2 linked regions of the Lepisosteus oculatus genome follow. The main gene of each other region encodes a partner of the protein of the gene in region 2 in a complex. Links are inferred from orthologs where the notes say so. Each region holds a gene or a part of one and is shown on either strand. Other genes may lie near its edges.

Region 1 (10,686 bases), on a different chromosome or scaffold from region 2:
ACGAGTGTCGGGTCCCTCTGCAGAGGCCCTAGTCTGCTCTGAGCTGGTGCCCATCTGAACCCTCTTGTCTCCTGTGGGTTTGGTGCAGTGTGAAGAGGTTTGAGGATCTGCTCGGCCCCTACCGGCTGAACGATGGATTCAGGGACGAAAACACAGTCAATGAAATGAAGAAGGAATTCCCCTGGAAGATTTCGGATGAAGAGATAGAGAGGAACAAGGCCAAGGTGAGACTCTTTCAAGTCTGAATTCTTCATCTTCTGTTATTGGCGGATGACTTGGGCAGAATGAAACCAATCTGTGGTTTAAGAGCACTTCGCTTCCTGACAGCGAGAGATTGTGCTCAGGCTATGGCAAACCAGAGCACTTTGTGCTTTAAATAAGGAAAAAACACAATTCTGTAAGAGAAAATGCAAGAATGAAACACTGTTTTTTGAGGATTTTCAAATTAATCATATTTTAAAAATATGCTTTCTTTTTTCCGGCAGTCCCTCCGACAGATCCATCTGAATGAAATCCTGCTGGATTACTCCCGAGACGCGGCGCTCATCATCCTGTGAGTGGAAATGCTGAGCCCCCAGTGGAATGAGCCAGGGAATTAGCCACTCTCCTTGATTTGCTAAGCACACACCCTAATGGCTACTGGACTGTACATACTGTTCAGAGAACATCACCCAGATTCCATTTCAGGGCTTGAATTTCAGATAATTACCCCCAGAGCTGATCTTGCGTGCACGGTAATCATTTGCATTTTAGTTTCAGAAACGGTTAGGCTCAACAATACTGGAAGTGTAGTTCAATGAGCACGAAAACCCTCACTGCCCTAGTCTTCCCTCAGCGCTTTCTGTCTGGTTCTGCTTGTGTCTGCAGCAAGTGCCCATTAGTTCCAGTGGGTGATCAGTCTGGTGATTTCTGTGGCGTTTTTCCTGTACTGCTCAGTGAAAACTGTTTGACCCCGCTGCTCTCCTACACAGCCCTGCAGGCACTGTATGGTTGGAGTGGCAGCCACTCCTCTTTATAAGACACCAGCTTATTTGCTTTTATGTGCATATTATTTCTTACAGTTACAGATATCTAGGCATTTGTTTCAGGTCATATAATTGTGTAAGTTAGTTAGGCAGTGTCTTGCAGATCCAATGTCCTGAGTTTGATCCTAGCCTTGAGAATCTGTCAGTGTTAGTAATAATAATAATAAACTTTATTTTATATAGCGCCTTTAAAGGTGGCTTCTCAAAGCGCTTTACATGATGACAATAACAATAAATAAGAAGACTACAACAATAAATAAGAAAATTTCACAAGACAGGACACAATTATAATTACAACAATACAACAATAACAATAGAGGAGACCGTGGAAGATGGTATTAAGAAGAGCAGAGGGGTGAAGAATGGAACCAGTTAAGTAAAGGCTTTTCTGAAAAGGAGGGTTTTGAGTCTGGATTTGAAGGAGTTTAGAGAAGGTGACTCTCTAATATCCTTGGGCAAGGAGTTCCAGAGCTTGGGGGCATAGCAGGAGAAGGCCCTGTCGCCCATACAATGTAAACGGGCTTGGGGGACAGTAAGGAGGGCAGAATTTGAAGAGCGGAGGTTGCGAGGTGGGGAGTAGGGCGATAAAAGTTCAGACAGGTATTGAGGTGCCAAGCCATGTAAAGCCTTGTAGGTGAGCATGAGGATTTTAAAGTCTACGCGGAATTTGACCGGAAGCCAGTGCAAGGACTCCAGGATAGGAGTAATGTGAACACTTGCACTAGATCTGGTCAGGATTCTGGCTGCTGAATTTTGGACATACTGCAGCTTGTTCAGAGTAGATTTAGATACCCCAGGGAGCAGAGCATTGCAGTAGTCAATTCGAGAGAATACAAATATGTTGATCAGCTTTTCAGCCACAGTTAATGATAGCATAGGGCGTAGTCTTGCGATATTTCTAAGGTGAAAAAAAGATGTTTTGACAGTATGCTGTACATGTGGGTCGAATGTTAAGCCAGAATCGAATATAACCCCAAGGTTTTTCAATTTTGATTGGAGCTCAAGTACAGAGCCATCTACAGACAGGGTTACAGGACTGGCTTTACGAAGTTGATGGGGGGTACCAATAAGCATGACTTCAGTCTTGTCACAGTTAAGATGAAGGAAGTTTTGAGTCATCCAAATTTTTATGTCAGAGATGCAATTAGATAGAATAGAGACAGCCACATCAGTGTCGGGTTTGGTATGGATGTATATTTGAGTATCGTCAGCGTAAAAATGAAAGCTGAGGCCATGTGATCTTAAAAGCTGACCAAGTGGGAACAAGTAAATGCTGAAGAGCAAGGGGCCCAGTATTGAGCCCTGAGGGACACCAGACTTGACAAGACCAATTTCAGACCTGTACCCATTGAGAGAGACAAAGTGACAGCGATCAGTGAGGTAAGACTTAAACCATTTGAGGGCAGTGTCAGAGACTCCAAACACAGTCTCGAGACGAGAAAGCAAGATGTTATGGTCAACAGTGTCAAAGGCAGCACTGAGATCAAGAAGGATGAGTATGGAAAGAACCAGAATCAGAAGCTATTAGGAGATCGTTGGTGACTTTGACTAGGGCGGTTTCTGTGCTGTGAAGTTGACGGAAGCCAGATTGGAGGGGTTCGAAAAGGTTGTTTGTCATGAGGTGGTTATGTAACTGAAGTGTGACAGCACGTTCTAGAATTTTAGAGAGAAAGGGTAAGTTGGAGATGGGGCGAAAGTTGTTAAGATTGTCGAGAGCCATGTTAGGCTTCTTTGGCACTGGGGTAATAGCAGCAGTTTTGAGGACCGTTGGTACAATGCCGGTGCTCAAGGATTCATGTATTATATTGAGGACAATGGGACAGAGAGAAGAGAAACAGGACTGGAATAAAGTGGTGGGAATGGGATCTAAAATAGATGTGGTGGGTTTCATGCGCGTAACTAGTTTGTTTAGGGATGCTGAGTCAAGAAGAGAGAAGCTGGAGAGACGGGAACCAGAGAGGTTGGATGAGGAGGGAGGAGGTGTGGAAATTATATCCGTAGTGGAGAGAATGTGATGCCGGATGTTGTCAATCTTAGAACTAAAGAAATCTAAGAATGTGTTGCAAAGTTGTGATGAGGCAGGTAATGTGGTGGGGCAGTTTGGCTTGAGTAGTCTGTTGATGGTGGAGAAAAGATGTCTGGGATTGTTTTGGTGATTTTCAATGATGTGAGAGAAGTAGGTGGATCTAGCAGACTCTATAGTAACCTTATAATCAGATAAGTAATCTCTCCAGGCCTGATAATGTACATTTAGGCCGGAAAGACGCCACCTACGCTCAAGTTTGCGAGAGGCTGCCTTCATGAAACGCAGATGGTCATTGTACCAGGGGGCAGGGCGAGAGAAGGAGATGGTTCGAGTTTTTAAAGGAGCAAAGGTGTCGAGGGTAGATAAAAGAGCATTGTCAAGTAACTGTATTTTGTCCTCTAGAGGGTCAGAGGAAGAGAAACAGGATAAGGAGGACAGAACAGAATTTGCAAAATTAGTGTAGTGTTGTGTGTCACTATGATGTGCAGTGTTAGTGTAGATGTGTTTCAGTATGGTGTGCAGTGTTAGTGCACTGTTGTGTCTCAGTAAGGTGTCCAGTGTCAGTGCAGGTGTTGTGTCTCAGTGTGGTGTGCAGTGTCAGTGCAGGTGTTGTGTCTCAGTGTGGTGTGCAGTGTCAGTGCAGTGTTGTATCTCAGCATGGTGTGCAATGTCAGTGCAGGTGTTGTGTCTCAGCATGGTGTGCAATGTCAGTACAGGTGTTGTGTCTCAGTGTGGTGTGCAGTGTCAGTGCAGTGTTGTGTCTCAGTGTGGTGTGCAGTGTCAGTGCAGTGTTGTGTCTCAGTGTGGTGTGCAGTGTCAGTGCAGTGTTGTGTCTCAGTGTGGTGTGCAGTGTCAGTACAGTGTTGTATCTCAGTATGGTGTGCATGTTAGTGCAGTGTTGTGTCTCGGTGTGGTGTGTAATGTCAGTGCAGGTGTTGTGTCTCAGTGTGGTGTGCAGGGTCAGTGCAGTGTTGTGTCTCAGCGTGGTGTGCAATGTCAGCGCAGGTGTTGTGTCTCAGTGTGGTGTGCAGGGTCAGTGCAGTATTGTGTCACAGCATGGTGTGCAATGTCAGCGCAGGTGTTGTGTCTCAGTGTGGTGTGCAGTGTCAGTGCAGTGTTGTGTCTCAGTGTGGTGTGCAGTGTCAGTGCAGTGTTGTGTCTCAGTATGGTGTGCAGTGTCAGTGCAGTGTTGTGTCTCAGTGTGGTGTTCAGGGTCAGTGCAGATGTTGTGTCTCAGTGTGGTGTGCAGTGTCGGTGCAGTGTTGTGTCTCAGTGCTAACCCTTGTCATGATTGCCCACTGTTGTCTCTCTGACAGGACTATGCCAGTGGGCAGGAGGGGGAAATGCCCCAGCGCTCTCTACATGGCCTGGCTGGAAACCCTTTCCCAGGACCTCCGACCCCCTGTGCTCCTTGTCAGGGGCAACCAGGAAAATGTGCTCACCTTCTACTGCCAGTAGTGCAGACATAGCCACACAGACACTCTACATCCAGTAGTGCAGACACAGCCTCACAGACACTCTGCTGCCAGTAGTGCAGACACAGCCTCACAGACACTCTCCTGCCAGTAGTGCAGACACAGCCTCACAGACACTCTCCTGCCAGTAGTGTAGACACAGCCTCACAGACACACTCTACTGCCAGTAGTGCAGACACAGCCCCACAGACACACTCTACTGCCAGTAGTGTAGACACAGCCCCACAGACACACTCTACTGCCAGTAGTGCAGACAGCCCCACAGACACACTCTACTGCCAGTAGTGTAGACACAGCCCCACAGACACACTCTACTGCCAGTAGTGCAGACACAGCCTCACAGACACACTCTACTGCCAGTAGTGCAGACACAGCCTCACAGAAACACTCTACTGCCAGTAGTGTAGACACAGCCTCACAGAAACACTCTACTGCCAGTAGTGTAGACACAGCCCCACAGACACACTCTACTGCCAGTAGTGCAGACACAGCCTCACAGACACACTCTACTGCCAGTAGTGCAGACACAGCCTCACAGAAACACTCTACTGCCAGTAGTGTAGACACAGCCTCACAGAAACACTCTACTGCCAGTAGTGTAGACACAGCCTCACAGACACACTCTACTGCCAGTAGTGTAGACACAGCCCCACAGACACTCTCCTGCCAGTAGTGTAGACACAGCCTCACAGACACACTCTACTGCCAGTAGTGTAGACACAGCCCCACAGACACTCTCCTGCCAGTAATGTAGACACAGCCTCACTCCATCTTTTGCTAGGAGTATTTACACAGCTCTTGCAGGGACCTGCTGATCCACTTCTGCACTCTCCCAATGCCTGATAAAGCCATAATGCCTTACTAGCAACTTATCTTTAAAACATTTTAGGAGCTGGGGATGTGGAGGAGTTGTTCCAGACTTGTGGGAAGTAACTTAACTCAGTTACACCTGGATTTTTACACTTTTAGAATTTTTGGAACTTTATTATTTCTAGTCATGTCATATGTGTTTTCATGCTTTTGTATTTTAATTGTTTAAAACGTATTTCCTTTAGCATTAACTAAGCCCATTAAGCACACACCTATCTGTGTGCTTAGGGTACTGTTTTACTGTTTTAAACTCCCATTAACGCTTGTACAACTGAGTCTCTAACAAAATCACTCCATGCAGTGTAATCACCATTATTATACTGTTCTGAACAAATTTATTTATGTTTTTATTAATAATAAAGTTTTTTCAATGTGTGGTTCATTGTTTGAGATTTGTTGAGCAGGGGATAAAAACTTTCCCCTGCTCTCGTTGCCGGTGAACACCGTCTTCCCAAAATGCACTTTTACTATGAACTAATTCGTTCTGCTCTGACCCCTGACCCTGAATCTATATGATTTCTTTACAGTTTTATTGAACATTACATAATACAAAGGAGAAAGGGTATCCAATAAGATAAAGTGAACAAAAAAAAACAGAATAAAACGCTGCCAGAGATAATAACAAATCTGAACAAAATAAGATACATTTTTACCTACATCTGGTGCGTTTTTGGTGAAGTTTAAGTAATATTGCGTTTCCACCTTATAAACATTAAAGGAGGGAGCAGCATTAGACAGTTCAGTGAAAAAGACGCCAAACCAGGGACGGAGAAGAAACAGCAACTTAGACGTGCGCGTTTGTTCTACATGAACAAACAGTTTCATTGCGTTTGTTTTACTTAAACACAACCCTTCACGTTTCCTCAAACGTTCTTTCGAAAAGACGAGCTTTCAGCAGCAACACCGGTGTCAAGGTGAGGCAGACTGCGGACGGCCTGCCGCCGGACCCCGCAGGAGCGCTCCGAGAACCGGGCTCTGCCTGCCAGCTGCACGCCGGGCGCCCTGTTGCATCAGCTCGGCGCTCCCCTAGTGGAGTCTGCGCAGCCGGCGGCGCTGCCCGCGAGAGGCCCACGTCAGTGCACGAGCCCCGGCCGGCCAATCAGAGGCGGCCACACTGTGTTTTGAAGATTCCTCCCCCCGGAGATAAACCTGCCGGAACAGCCCGCACACCTCCAGTCAGAGCTGAGCGGCACTGCGCTTCACTGTTTGACAGCTAACTCCGAGGTGGGGGGAGGGAGATAGGAAAGAAAGTTCTATTGTTTTGTCCGCTGACGGTTGCGAGGCTCGTCCTTTACGGAGTGTATTCGGGGTAACGTCCTTCTCTCGCACGCCGAAGACCGAGGACAGGGATGGACGGACCGTCTCCGCCACCGGAGACCCTGACCCTGATCGTCAAGACGCCGAACCAAGCCCACGGAGACCGGGCCGTGGAGGGAGTGCAGCCCAGCTGGACGGTCGGGCAGCTGAAGTCGCACCTGTCAGGAGTGTACCCGGGCAGCCCGGTGAGTGTCCAGCCTGCTTTCGTGTTTGTCCGGACTCTGCTCTGCCGGCGTCACTGCCCGGAAGCGCCACATGATAGGAAACACTGCTTAATACGACATGATCCTAGAGCCCTACCGCGAGTTTTCGACTCCTTTCCCGTCCTATAGCCGTGAGTTTTATTATACGGTATTGAAGTTGTTCGGAGCACTTGAAGCGCTGCCTGTCTCTTTCTCCCCGGTGTGGTCGGGTCGCAGTTAGCGGAGTCTTACCCGGGTTCAGTGGCTCAGTTTGCCCTGGTAGGGCACGGTTTAAGTCTTCTGCGTGCGCTCCTAGCTGTGCAATGAGCGAACCCTGAGCGTTGAATAAGAGCGATATTCTGTACGTTTTTTTCCGGAAGTGGGTTTACCTGTCTTGAACATCAACAAGCACCCGGTGCGCCTCTTCGGTATCGGTGTAAATCAGGAATAAGAGCAGGAAGACCTCGACAGGTGTTTCCCCGCGCTGTGACTCCTGCAGGTGTCTTGTCCTTCCTGTCCGCTCTGTTGCTGTTTCTCAGTTCTCTGTTTCACCTGATTCTCGCCCCGCAGCCTGAGAAAGACCAGCGGCTCATCTACTCCGGGAAACTGCTGCCAGACCACCTGCTCTTGAGAGACGTCTTCCGGAAGGTAAACATGAACGTGATGTTATCAGTGCTGTTTCCTGTTGCTTCTTAGCACACCCCACCAACTGTATCATCTTAAACCTGCTATCTAATTGAATTACAACATCTTGTTCTTAAACCCCTCCTAGTATCTGTATAATACTTTACATGCAGAGTGGGGCCCAGTTCATCCACCAGCTGGGTGACGCACAGCAAATCAGTTGTAGCAGCAGAGAAGGGATTTAACAGATTGTGGAAAGTACCTCAAACCTCCATTTGTTGTGTGTTATACACTGGGCTCAGGTGACTGGAGATCAGTGTCTGGTGCTCATACAGTTTTCTGATCCACTTCATCTTGCGCCTGAGCTGTTTGTGCTCCAGTATTCCTCTCCGAGCAGAACTAAACTCTGATTTCTTCTCTTTACAGTCAGACACCACACCAACCCTTCACTTAGTCTGTGCCTTCAAGCCTCCGGGCTCACAACACGGATCCCAGCCTAAGGTATGCAAGTCATGCTGTAGTTGGAGACTTGTACCAGTCAGCAGCCCTCAGGAGTGGAGATCGAGGCTGCTCTGCTGCTTTCTGTGGCTCCGTGCTTCATGGGCGCTTAAGTAGTGTTGAACAGGGGCACAATGTCTGAAGAGCACTGTTCACAAAATGCAGAACTGAAACAGATTCTTCTGGACTAGCCCTTCCGTTGCTATTAAAAAGAAACTGCATTCCCAGTTTCTCAGACCAATTATTACGTCTCGGTAACAAACAAAAAAATAATTGATGGTATTGGAAAAATTTACAAATTCTCAATTAAGCACAAAATCGAGAACTTTGTGGAAGTACTGGATAATCGCCATGGGCCCTTCCTGCTCACTAGTCACTGTAATGACTCCTGTAATATGAAGTTTACAAGTAGTATTTGTCGGCAAAATTATCTGGAAGTCGAGAACACTGTTTCTGTTGGATTAAAAGAGATGTATTCACTTTTACAGGGTTCCAGAAAGAACAGCGCTTTAAAACCTCTACTGTTGCAGCACGAAAGAGAATTAGGACAGTGATGTTTGCATGATAAAATGTCATAATCATAGCCTTGTGCTTGATTTGATCAGTTCTGTTGATTTTGCTGATACAGTTCGAAAGTAAACCCTGGACTCTTCAGCAGGGAGTGCACAAGTGAAGTGTCAGGTTTCACGTATTGAAACTGGGGAGGTTTAGCCCTGTTCTGCATCATCTCCCCAGCAACCAGGTGCAGCCCTTGCAGCCTGTTCCCAAGGCTGCGGGCGGATATTTTACATTCTTTTTGAAACGACCTGTTCTAATTTCAGAATGCTCGAGTTTCACATCTTTTTTTTGTTGTTCTTGCCGCGAGCTCTTGTTGTGCTAACGAGCGTCGTCGCTCTGTCTGTGGTCTAGGCTGCGGGAGCCGAGGCGTGTGTGCAGTCTGTGCCCCGTGCGGCTGGCCAGGCCGCGGGCGCAGCTCCTCCTGGGCCCAGCGGAGACGGATTACGGCACAGAGGGAGTGCTGGAGGCGTGCCTTCTGCCTGGACAAGCCCTGCGATGTGAGTGCGTCCCCTCAGCAAGGGTCCACCACAGCGCATGTGGGATCCTGAAGGAAACTGTCTGCTGTTCGGTCCACATAATCAACTTTAGGCCTTATTCGTGACTTAAAGCATGGCTGAGGGTCAAGGCCGTTGCTTTCCTCCTGATGTGAGCAAGAAGTGTAAAATTGCTCCCTGATGCCACAGAATCAATTGTGCTTTCGTACCAGCCGTGAATGAATTCCTCCCTTGTTGAGCTCAGGCCTGTGTGCGTCGCTGTACCGCTGCCCCGTGTGCCCAGATGTCCTGTGCTGTCTGCAGTGGTGTGTGAAAGGAGCTGGGTGGTTGTGCCAGGTAGTGCTGTCCAGCTGAGGTTGCTGTCTGTCTTTTCTCCAGGCTGGGGGGAGCGGATGTGCGTCGTCCTGCGTACTCGGTGTACAGCCCTCAGCAGCTCCTCTGGCTGCAGCAGATGTATGTCAGGCAGTACTACATGCAATAGTAAGTACAGCTCTGCCTGGCGGGGCTTTGTGCCCTGAGCTATTGCTGTTGAGATACTTTTGTGGGTGGAGTGTTCTTGTTGTTTTATACGGAATGGATTTGTTTCATTCTCCATAATGCTCGTGCTTTCTGAGATGCATTTCCTTCGGATGGCTGAATAAGATTCCAAAGTGGAAGGCGGACTGTAAAAACTGAGGAATGAACTGGCTTTGTGTACTTCAGAATCGTCCGGGAACGTAGCTCCTCCAGAGACTGTGTATGGGGACGTACATGAATAGCTGCTAGGTGGTCAAATTTAAATCCTTTGCTGGCGTCGTCTGTCTCCCCCTGACGCTTGTCGTCTTCGTGTTGAATTGCAGTCAGGCGGCTCTGGCTGCTGCCTCCTCCCATGTGGCCCCCAGTGGCCCCTCCCTGCCTGTCGTCACGCCGGCTCCTGTACCCCTGGCTAATCAGGCCCCCGCTGACAACCTCCCAGCCAATCAGAACGCTCCGCAGCCCCCGCTCATCAACCCGGGAGCCAATCAGAACCTGCGGATGAACGCCCAGGGCGGCCCGGTGATGGAGGACGAGGAGGACGTGAACCGTGACTGGCTGGACTGGGTGTACACCGCTGCCCGTTTCTCGGTCTTTCTCAGTATCCTGTACTTCTACTCCAGCGTGAGCCGCTTCGTGCTGGTGATGAGCAGCCTGCTGATCATGTACCTGTGAGTACTGGTGGGGTTTCACGTGGTCTTCCCTGCGTGGGTACACAAGACTGAACAAGGTCATGTTTCAGACGGGGTCCTGCTGTGGACACTGGCACTGGAGCCAGCCCCCAGAAAGGCTGTGCTGTCTTGGTATCGCCCAGCCCTTCCCTGCTGCACATCTGGTGCTCTAAGACGGGAGCTCTCTGCTTGGCTGGGTTTGGGCAAAGGGAACAGAGCCTTCTTGCAAATATTGGCGTGATCTGGCGACTGGAAGTCTTGGGGAGGACGCAACATGTGAAATTATTTTTTAAAACGATTCAGGCTGAAATGACCAGTTTGCCAGAGCTGTGCAGGATGTTTGTGTAGGACTGGGTCTGTTTATGTTTGCAATTTAGAGTTCTATAGATTTCAAAGATTAGATCTTGTATAATTGTTCATCAGAGTGAGTGAT
Region 2 (10,186 bases):
CTGATTCTGAAGAGAAACCACAGCAGGTGTTAATTGTTTCTTGCTCGTGTGATGCCTTTTTAAATGCATAAAAGCGGAGACAATTATAGAGTTGGTATCTGAAGGACCGAGTAGAAATTAACTTGAAAAAAAAAGTTTCGGCTATAGAATATCTTCAGCGCAGTAACGATATGAGGACAGGTGAGGTACTGTTCAGTTTAAAATTTGACATTTTTCCATGCACGTTTCTCTGAAATGTGAGAATTTTAAAGAATATTTTGATCTTTAGATTTAGAATGCCTTTTCGGAAGAAAGGAGAGACCATCAGACTGAACAGAGAGTGTAGCCTCAGCCTCTATGTCCCTGTATACCTTTATTAAACTAAATATCACACAAATGGTGCCAGAGGATTTCCTACAGTTCGAGCACAGGAGTTGGTCCCAGATGAGAATTAGATAATTTAATTTGCAGATATCTCCAAACGCGTCCTCAGAGACCTACCACAATCTTGGGCAGTACAGCTTTTCTGGATGTTTTACAGAGACTAATGTTGCCATCTCTGAAGTTCTGTGACTGGACTCAATTTGACACTGACTTCATTTCTACCCACTGTGACTTCTAATCCTTTTTCTCTATCACACCATGGGACTATGGTATTCAAATCCTATACACTGTAAAATTCTGCCTGTGACTGTACGCTGAAGAATGGTCACTGTCAGCTACAGGGTTAGCTGTTTTGTTCATATTGCTACTTCAGTGCTGAGTGGGTTAATTAAATCATTTATTGAAGGTTTCCAGGGCGTTAGCCTGAATAATGTTTGAGTTTGTGGGGCATTCAGACATCCACAATCACCGGGGGAAAAACATCTCTCCGTCCGTAATTTTTGTTACGATACACTTTGCATGTATTTATTCCTCGATCTCAAAATCCAAACAGCAGCCGTGTGGTTCAAACCAATACTCTGGCTTCTTTCAAGAAACGGCTGGATGGGATCGCTGCTTCAATGAGCTAGTAACTATCAAACAGGTGAAATGCGTCAAATGACTTCTTCTCGTTTGTAACCTCACGTATGTTTTTAAAATATCTGTTTTTTCCTCGTTTCATCTCTGGGTTTGAAAAAAAAAAGAACTTTCATTGAAGTAATTGCACTGTTCGGCCAAAACTAATGGTCCTGTTCCACAATGGTGTTTCAGAGGGGAAAATCAGATGCTCTCATTCCGTTCAAGTCAAACAAAAGATTCCTCAGTAGCCCTGAATGAATGATGCTTCTGTGGTAAGGAAAGATATGAAAAAGCGAACAGGCAGCACTGCGCAGTCTGTGTCTGATCTGCCCTCTGGAGGCGCAAGTCTCAACACCAATATTTAGGAATTACAGCACAATCCTTTTCTAAACATAAGCATCAGACTTCAGCACCTGTGTCTAACAAAATTGATAAGTACCACTAAGGGCTAAATGTTGTTTCTCCTCCTTGCTCGTTTTGCACAATACATTTCAGGATAGAGTTATCTACAGAAACATAGACAGGTAAAAAGATTGTTTTCATATTAGTTAAACAGCTGGATGGGAGCGTTTTAGAGTATTTTTTATTAACTTTGTGTGTTAGGCTACATTATTTGAAAAACAATCGAATTACAGCTAACGGTGTCTGAAAGACGCAACACTTTCTAAGCTACAGTAGTAATTATCTCTGCATAAAAAGACAGCTGTCTGCTGGTTTGGCCAGATCTGTCCCAAGTCCAAGACCATTATTAGCAGGGCAGCGCTTGAGATGCGTCGCTAAGGTTGGCAAACTCCGACGGACGTCCTACTCTTCGGAACGATAATCCCCGCACGGTAGTGGTTCCGTTAAACTCAGCGTTTGCTTCCAGCAGTTTTTATTCCCCGATTTGTTTCTGGCCTGTCGTTCTGCGGCTTGTCAGACAGGATCATTCTCCCGTGGGCTGATGATGTTCCGCATGGACTCCTCCATTCACAGGCCTGCACAGTCATCAGCCTGGTTCAGACCCGATCTCATTGATAATGTGGCCCCGTCAGCAAGTGTGTCTGGGGAGAAATAATACAGTAGATCACCGCTTTTTCGCAACTGTCACCAACTGACAGCTTCCACCCGAGAACAATCTGAGATTCCTGCGATAGATATAATTTGCATATACCATGTAATCACTGGCTGCATCACTGTGTTTCTCAAGAAAATTATCAATGACAAAAAACGTGGGAACACTTTAGGTTAGACGAATCGCCTACAACTGCAGGCTAAACCATGGTTTGGTAGGAAATCTGTTCGTCATTGCCTACAGTAAATCTCCTTTGATGAAACAATCCTAACGAGAATTTTAGTGTTCAGCTAATGCATATTAGTTGCGTTGGGTTTTCACGGTAACGCGTTAAATTTACCGCGTCTCTTTTGTAAGGAATCGGTGGGGAGAGTGACATTAAAATGCCATTTATAAATATAAAAGATTATAACGATGTGTGTACGTGGGTATGTTTTAAATGATGGTACCTCCATCAAAACCGCACTTATACGATGTCAGTGGACTATATTATTTCCAGAGCCCCTAAAAGACAAAAATACTCACTTGACTAAAAACAGGTAGTATTCACTGTAAAGATTGATATAACTCTAAATCACACAACATCTGTTTTGGTTAAACTTCCATTGCATAGGTTACGTGATGCAAGCTCTCTACAGTATCATACCCCGGCATGACCCCTACAGGCGCTCGTGTGCAAAAGAGCAGCATTTGTTATGAGAGGAATGCTAGTACACATACAGTAATGTGCCCAAGAATTAAATACGTATGGGTGAGCATTACAGAACTAAATCAAATAACCTCTATAAGTGTTAAACATAAAAAATGTTGTATGTGCAGTACTTTTCACCATGAATACCATTGTGTCTATCTCTATGCTTTAATTGGGCTTTACCGCCTACTTATTGTAGTGAACCACACACAACATATTTATAAGGGAAGAGCTTCGCTTTAGTTTTTTTCCATACTGATGCATCCGAGCTGCAGGGGACTTAGTGTTTTAGTTAGTCGACAGTGCCTCCAAGCGGCTGACTTTATATACAGCACAGGGCAAGCTTGCACAACAGGAAGATACAGTACATACTGTATGTTATGTTATGCTAACAACGCAATGCGAACCCGGTCACATGTGTAGGTGTGATATTCTGAGAGCTTAGTACGCGGCTGTAGAAAATAGTATTCCCCTCATCCACTTTTTGTACATCTTTATTTTCTCACGAGTACGAAACGGCAGAAATATTTCAACGCATTGTAAAAGAAGAAGAGGTTTGCTTTGCCTGAGGGCATTTGTGCAAAGGTGGGAAGTACACACAGAGAAGACAAGGGTGTTTCTCGATTTCCATCACTCTACATTGATGTCATGGCTCAGTTTAATAAATAAAAGGAACATGTTATGGCACATTGAAATAGACGGCTCTTTGGATTCAATCCACTCCTCTATACTACACTTTGGTGGTTCTCCAAATTCACAAATGACACCCAAGATTGACCCATATTTAGTTAACTATGTGTTCACTAGGATCAACAAGAATTAAGTGTAATGAAAGGATTATGGAACGTTTTAGTGAAGAGTTGGCTTAATCTGCTTTGCTGAGGGTTACTACCTGCCCATAGGACAAGGAGACTGGGTCACCCATGCAGAATGACCAAGGAGGTGCTGCTGAGGTGGTGACAGACTGGAGGTTCTCTTCTGTCCCTTACATACAGTATATCTTTTTGGATGCAAAAAGACATTTGTAATGGACAGAATTAGATAAGATATAGTATAACCTTAAGTCCATAACCTGGACTTGAACGTGAAGAAAACGAAAGAGCTAATAGTGAACCTTCGGAGACACAGGCCACACACTCACAGCCCACTCAGTATTGATGGAACGGAAGTGGAAACAGTCACCAGCTTTAGGTTTTTGGGAATTCACATCTCTAAAGATCTCACCTGGACTGTGAACACTGACTCTATCATGAAGAAGGCTCAGCAGCGCCTTTATTTCTTGAGGTGCCTCAAGCGATGGGGGATGCCAATACATGTGCTGGTGAACTTCTACCGCTGCACCATCGAGAGCGTCCTCACCAACGGGATCACCGTGTGGTATGGCAACACCTCTTCGCGAGAAAGAAAGGCACTGCAGAGAATGGTCAATATGGCCCAGAAGATCATCGGCTGCGGTCTCACCAAGATTAAACAGCTCTATGAGGACCGCTGCCGTGGTAGAATTCTGGCCATCACAGAGGACAGTCACCACCCCGGGCATGAGCTCTTCACCCCACTGCCCTCAGGCAAGAGATATAAGAGCATACAGACACTTACCACTAGATTCTTCAATAGCTTTTATCCACAAGCAGTGAGATTGACGAACACATTTAGCCACACCTACACCATCACCATCTACCTCTTTATGATTTCTTATCTATTGCACATCTCCAGTCATTGTTTACACGTCTGTATTGTTTACATTCAAACTGTCTACATGTTTACTTGTACATTGTCTACTGTTTGTTTGTACATCTGGATGCACTGTTTGCACTTTGTTTTGTTTTTTACACTTGTTTTACAATCGAGAGACTTTCTGTCAGTAAGAATTCCATTGTACCTGTACCGGTTACATATGGCAATAAAGTTCAAGTTCAGTTCAGTTCAAGTTCAGTTATTTGTGTTTTTGGTGAGGAAAGGGATGTCAGGAGGGATTACTAGTAACTGACTGCTAAGTCTGATTGAACTTGGCTGTTGTCACCCCTCCCAAACCTTTGCGATAAACTCCATTAGCGACCTCGCTGCAGTTTTGCAGGCAGTGCCTCCGGGAAATGTCTGCACAGAAACAGGTATGGCAGTTAACACGATTGGGCATCACTCAAAACCTCCATATTTGATTGGGGACCCCAGACCACATACAAATCACTGCAAACAACTCACACCCTCCAATGGCTTTCTCCTTGACCTGCCTCTCGCCTCAACTGCCTGCTCTCACCCCTCCCTATCAACTCTCTTCTGCTCCATCAGCTAATTATTATCAGGCCCCTCTTATACCAAGCCTGTTCATTCTTCTTCCTCAGATCAGATACTTATACACTGCTGATCGTTTGCTGGTAATTCATCAAGCTGTATTTCCTGTGCCTTTTATTGTTCTGTACATTGTATATACAGTTGTTTCATTTTACCCCTTCTTTAAATTGAGTCAATGACTACTGGGAGAGTAACCATCTATACAACTCTGCCATCTAACCGGTTGTGAGTGAAGCACCTTGCTCAAGTGAACAGAATCTCGCTTGGGGTCAGTCTGCACACCCTGATGTCCATCATCACCATCACCATCACCATCACCCTTTATCCATCATGTGAAATTCTCAGCAACAGCTCGACAGCCATTCTACCAGTACTGTATCGACGCATTTCCTGCGGAAGTACGTCACCAGATCGGGGACTATACCAACATTTTGTGAAAAAAAGAGGGCGCCCTCTATAAACATCCACGTTTGGATGTTTCTGTATTTGGATAATTGTGCATGTATTGCTCGGAATACAAATATTTCCAAGTAGTATAGTTTTTCTATTTAAATACTGATACGATCAATTATATATGACCGACTGAACGCCTCTCCTGTGTGTTTACACTGCTCAGGCTCCCCCCGGACTTCTCTGCCACTTCAAGTGTTCGCTACACCAGTTCTCATCATGGCCGACGCGGAGGAGAGGTTAGGCGAGAGAGCGGACGAAGACCCCGCGGCTAAAAACTCTCAGGCGAGGCGCAGGACGGGCGCAGACATGAACGCTGCGGGAAGGCTGGGGGATCCCCAGGGGTCGGAAGAGAGGCCGGCGCCGGGCGGGCGGCAGACGGCCGCGGAGTACTGCGGCAAGGTGCAGGAGTGGATGTGGCAGTACTACTGGGGGTGTATGAACTGGCAGAGCTGGGCGGCGATGTCGGCGTACGCCTTCCCGCCGTGCTCCCTCTCGCCGCCCGCTAACCCGAACGGCTCAGCGCCCCCCTGGGGAGGAGGAGGGGGGCCTTCCCCGGCCGATGTACGGAGTTGGTACAGCAGTCATTTCCCTCTCGCCGCGCCTCCGTATTTCCCCGTCACCCCTGCGGGTCACGCTGCAGCCGGGGCGCAGGCCGGGCAGTTGACCGCGGGGGACAGGCCGGTACTGCAGCAAAATGGAAATGCACCACAGCCGGGTAAGAAAAGATCCCCTTCAGAGCGTCAGTACCGGGAGAGACGGAGTAACCACGAGTTACACAGGAGGATAAACACGCTTTGCATTTGTCTGTTTGGCCAGTCTAACACTGTAGGTTATGTTCCAGTGCGGGACGTACCTGCCAATAGATCCAGCTGTATCTGTAACTCTGCAAGATCCTTAGGCTGTCATCCCAGAACACAAGGGTTAGGTTTACCTACTGGACGCCCGCAGTTGTGGTCTTTCAAAGTCAGAGGGCATGCATCACTGGGAAGGAGCTCCTCGTTTCCGTTATGGCGTCTTGTCATATTGTGTAACTTGGGCAAGGCGTCGATGAATAACTCACCAGTGGGTGAGTGAAAGCGGTGTTAAGGTTTTACTAAAGCTCACACTTGTACCTGAAACGTTGCCTGGGAAAGCTGTAAAGTAGGACATGTCCCTGCAGATCTAAAAAAAAATAATCTTTGGGAAGTAATAACGACAAACTCAGCCCTCTCTGGATGTGTAAAGCAGTTACGTAGAAGAAATCTTCTTGTGACGCTATGATGTATATAAAACGTTAGCCTTCTTATTACCATCCCAAGTAACTCAAAATGCGGGGAGTATCTCCATCTTCCCAGAACCCAGCAGGCAGGTTTGGGGTGAGGTCTCTCCGAGAGACCACCCAGTTCTGTGATACAGGGGGTTTGAGCCACCCTTAGAAATATCAGTATCACTAAAGCAGTCTCAGAGTACTGTGTACAATGTAATGTTATATTTGGCAGAAGGTCTGAAGGGACTATAATATGAAGTAGGGAATCGTTAGACACTTTACTGTCCAGCATTTGAAATGCATAATCCTGAATATCTAAAGAGGAAAACTGGTTTCCCGAAGTGGGCTTGGTCCCAGTACTTTGATGGCTACCCAGCATCCAGTCTGGAGAATTCTAGACCGAAGGCTTGAGGGCAGATATAACTGAAAGAATAGTAAAGAAAAACAAAAAAGTGTATTTTAGGCTAAGGAATCCAGATGTGATCCTGTTCAAAACTCCGTCTTTGTTCCCCAGCATGCTAGGAAATAAGTGAGTGTCTATTGCTATTTACTAACTAATCTGAGCTGGTGGAAAAATGAGGCGTTGTGGTTTTTGTCTAAAAATTTTGGGTGTTTTTTTTGCAGTATTAATGGCAGAGTTTGTAGAAAGAATCGTGCTGGTATTTTATAAAAGCGCACATTGCATCACGACGTACCGATCACAGGTTCTTCCCCTATAAAAGATGATGGACTTAATTGTTCTTAATGTGAAAACCCTGTGAAGCAATGCAGGGTGTTTACAATTGTTTTTTTGGGGGGTCATTTTACTTATTTAATTTATTTTATGTGTTACATGTTATGTTAAGAAAGGACCGTGAAAGTGAGTTTTTAAAATATATTTCTGAGCATTATAACCATCTGCCTCAAAACGCAATCTTGGTCCTCATCTTCTCTGTGTATTTCCTGTAGGAACTGTAGACCAGTAGATGTGCTGTAGTAACACAGTTGGGATAAGACTTGAATGCATTTTAGCAGTCAGTGATGTGAGATGTCTTTGACACTTTTTGTTTGTTGCAGGACGAGAGTATACCATTCCATCTCCTCTGCACAGGTTCATAGCAGAAATGGTCGACTTCTTCATCCTTTTCTTCATAAAGGCAACTATCGTGCTCAGCATCATGCACTTCAGTGGCATGAAGTGAGTCAGTGAACAGTTCAAATGTTCTGAAAGCCTTAATGCATGAATAATGTTTCTTTATTGTGCATGATATATAGTGTGTCCTGTAGGTGAATAAACAAGGACTGTTGTTGACTTAGATCTGGTCCCGGCTTATGGAAAAAGTCATTTGGATAAGCAGGTTGAATGGCTACAACCCTCTTAAATTAACAGAATATAAATCGAATTAACTTCCTTCATTTAGCAATAAAATTGAAGGAATAGAAATATGGAATCTCTTTGTTTAAGCAAGTCTAGGAAAATATTTTAGATGTACACTGTGTGCAAGAGTTTTCTAATATACATGGTAAAAATTAATTCTAATATACTGGAAAATGCATTAAAGAGAATAAGGAACTGTTTCAACTATTGGCTAGATATAGAGGCAGGAAGTAACTTTCAACCCTGCCAGAGATATTTGGTAAAAGACTTTCTAAATTAAAAACAGGATCATCAAGCAAAGCAGACAGAGGGTATACATTATCATTGTTTCCTGGAGTACACATTTATAAGCATATATGTAAGAGTGTACCAACAATGTACCACTGAAACTTGTTAGTCATTCCTATGAAACATGGACTCTAGTTTAAGAATAAAACAATTTAATCTGGTTACTGCATCACCAGTACAGTATCATCTGGCAGTTTATCTGTTTAAAAGCTCTTCAGGTTTATTCCTAGCAGTTAATCCAGTAAATGTAAGACTAAGACTGAGTTACTTTTTGTTGTGACTTTTGTAATGACTTCTTATAAATATACATTTGTGCCTTTTAACCAAACCACTTCAGATTTGTTTACAGCATGGGTAGGATTTATATTCGAACATTGGTTCCCAGCACTCTGCCTCCAGCAGATGTTGGTATTTCTTATATAAAGTCTTCCTGCCTTCATAAAGAATTCTGTGCTGGTGATTAGGTTTGCACGACTGTGCTCTCAGTAGTTCTGCATGATTCTGTTTCACGTAGAGAAGAAAAGAGAGAAAAACAAACCCGATCACAGCTGATTGGGTTATATGTGCAGTTAGGGTATTGCGGGCATCTCTTTTTCTTATTGTATATAAGCCGACATGTTTTCCAGTTTAGGGGTTGTTAATATTGCAAAGTTCTGAACACCACAAGATGTGTATGTTAAAAGTACTATAATTATTAAACTAGAAGAGGGAGTTAATTAGGAGTACTTAGAGCCCGTTGAGGTTAGAGGGCTGAATATCTGTTTCAGAGACCAAATGTTGCCTAAATCACAAATGAGGATAAAGGTTGACAGTTGATGTATGTACATTAAATCATCCAAAACCAAGCATCATACTGCAGAAATGTACATAAAGTCATCACATGGTCAAAATGGGATGGCGTTGGGGCTAATTCATGTTCATATTCCAGTCGATAAGTCCTGTTTTAAGCCATTATTTCCTGTGGTATTTTTGTTTCCTTCTGTAGGGACATTTCCAAGTTTGCCATGCATTTTATTGTTGAAGAGATTGATGAGGACACCTCGATGGAAGAACTGCAGAAAATGATGGTCGTTGCGCTGATCTACAGGGTGTTGGTGTGCTTCTATGAGGTGAAACTATTCTAGCCCAGATGATACTAGTTTCCATCCATTGTATACCAGAGCAAAAGAGTGTCCTTTTATTGAATCCTTTTTTTTAACGAGTTGACTGAATAGGGTAAAAAGCTAATCCTGGATCTTGCAAGAGTTTGGAAAGAGTGCTACGGTGATCTTTCAACTCTCATGAGCACTGAGTTAGCACTGTATCCATTCTAGTGGAAAACTGTTGGTCTCCTGCAAGGAGCCAAAATGTACATATCTGCAGCTCTATCCCATCTGTGAAATTGTGAGAGGTCTTATTTTTATTGAAACACTTTTGGATTTTTCCTATCTTTGGATTCCTTATTATAATAAGTATTAATGTTAAAGGGTAAGATCTCATTTTTTATTGGGTAATTCATTTGCACCTAGATTCAAATGTAAATGTTAAAAGTCTAATTGCTTTCATGGAACACTATATCCCAATGTTTTCAGATTGAAAAATGAGCTCTGCGCTGCTCGTTAGTTCTGAATCGGTATTAAGCCTCCATTGTAATTTCTTGTAAGACCTGATTTATAACTCTTTCTTAAGTAATGGAGGAAAATAAATTCTTGCTTATAGATCATTTGCATCTGGGGAGCTGGTGGGGCCACTCCAGGGAAGTTTCTGCTGGGTCTCCGCGTTGTCACCTGTGACACATCGGTTCTTGTGCGGCCCAATCGGGTTTTTGTGGTACCGGCGTCGAACGTC

The links. Proteins that work in one complex are often made in the same cells at the same time.
Region 1: fam8a1a (region 2) and herpud1 share a complex: the UniProt entries of both Homo sapiens proteins name them as parts of the HRD1 complex. The link is inferred for Lepisosteus oculatus from reciprocal best matches to the Homo sapiens genes FAM8A1 and HERPUD1.

Annotation. Positions count from the first base shown.
Region 1 is NC_090715.1:1,191,807-1,202,492, forward strand, and holds the start of herpud1 (homocysteine-responsive endoplasmic reticulum-resident ubiquitin-like domain member 1 protein), read left to right. Parts: upstream 1-6,043; 5' UTR 6,044-6,745; coding exon 6,746-6,898; intron 6,899-7,465; coding exon 7,466-7,543; intron 7,544-7,945; coding exon 7,946-8,020; intron 8,021-8,926; coding exon 8,927-9,072; intron 9,073-9,447; coding exon 9,448-9,549; intron 9,550-9,908; coding exon 9,909-10,253; intron 10,254-10,686. Other genes in the region: slc12a3 (solute carrier family 12 member 3), read left to right, coding at 89-224, 486-553, 4,368-4,509. UniProt on the Homo sapiens protein: Component of the endoplasmic reticulum quality control (ERQC) system also called ER-associated degradation (ERAD) involved in ubiquitin-dependent degradation of misfolded endoplasmic reticulum proteins.
Region 2 is NC_090705.1:39,581,401-39,591,586, reverse strand, and holds the start of fam8a1a (protein FAM8A1), read left to right. Parts: upstream 1-5,618; 5' UTR 5,619-5,684; coding exon 5,685-6,183; intron 6,184-6,321; exon of another isoform or gene 6,322-6,614; intron 6,615-7,770; coding exon 7,771-7,891; intron 7,892-9,344; coding exon 9,345-9,468; intron 9,469-10,057; coding exon 10,058-10,186. UniProt on the Homo sapiens protein: Plays a role in the assembly of the HRD1 complex, a complex involved in the ubiquitin-proteasome-dependent process of ER-associated degradation (ERAD).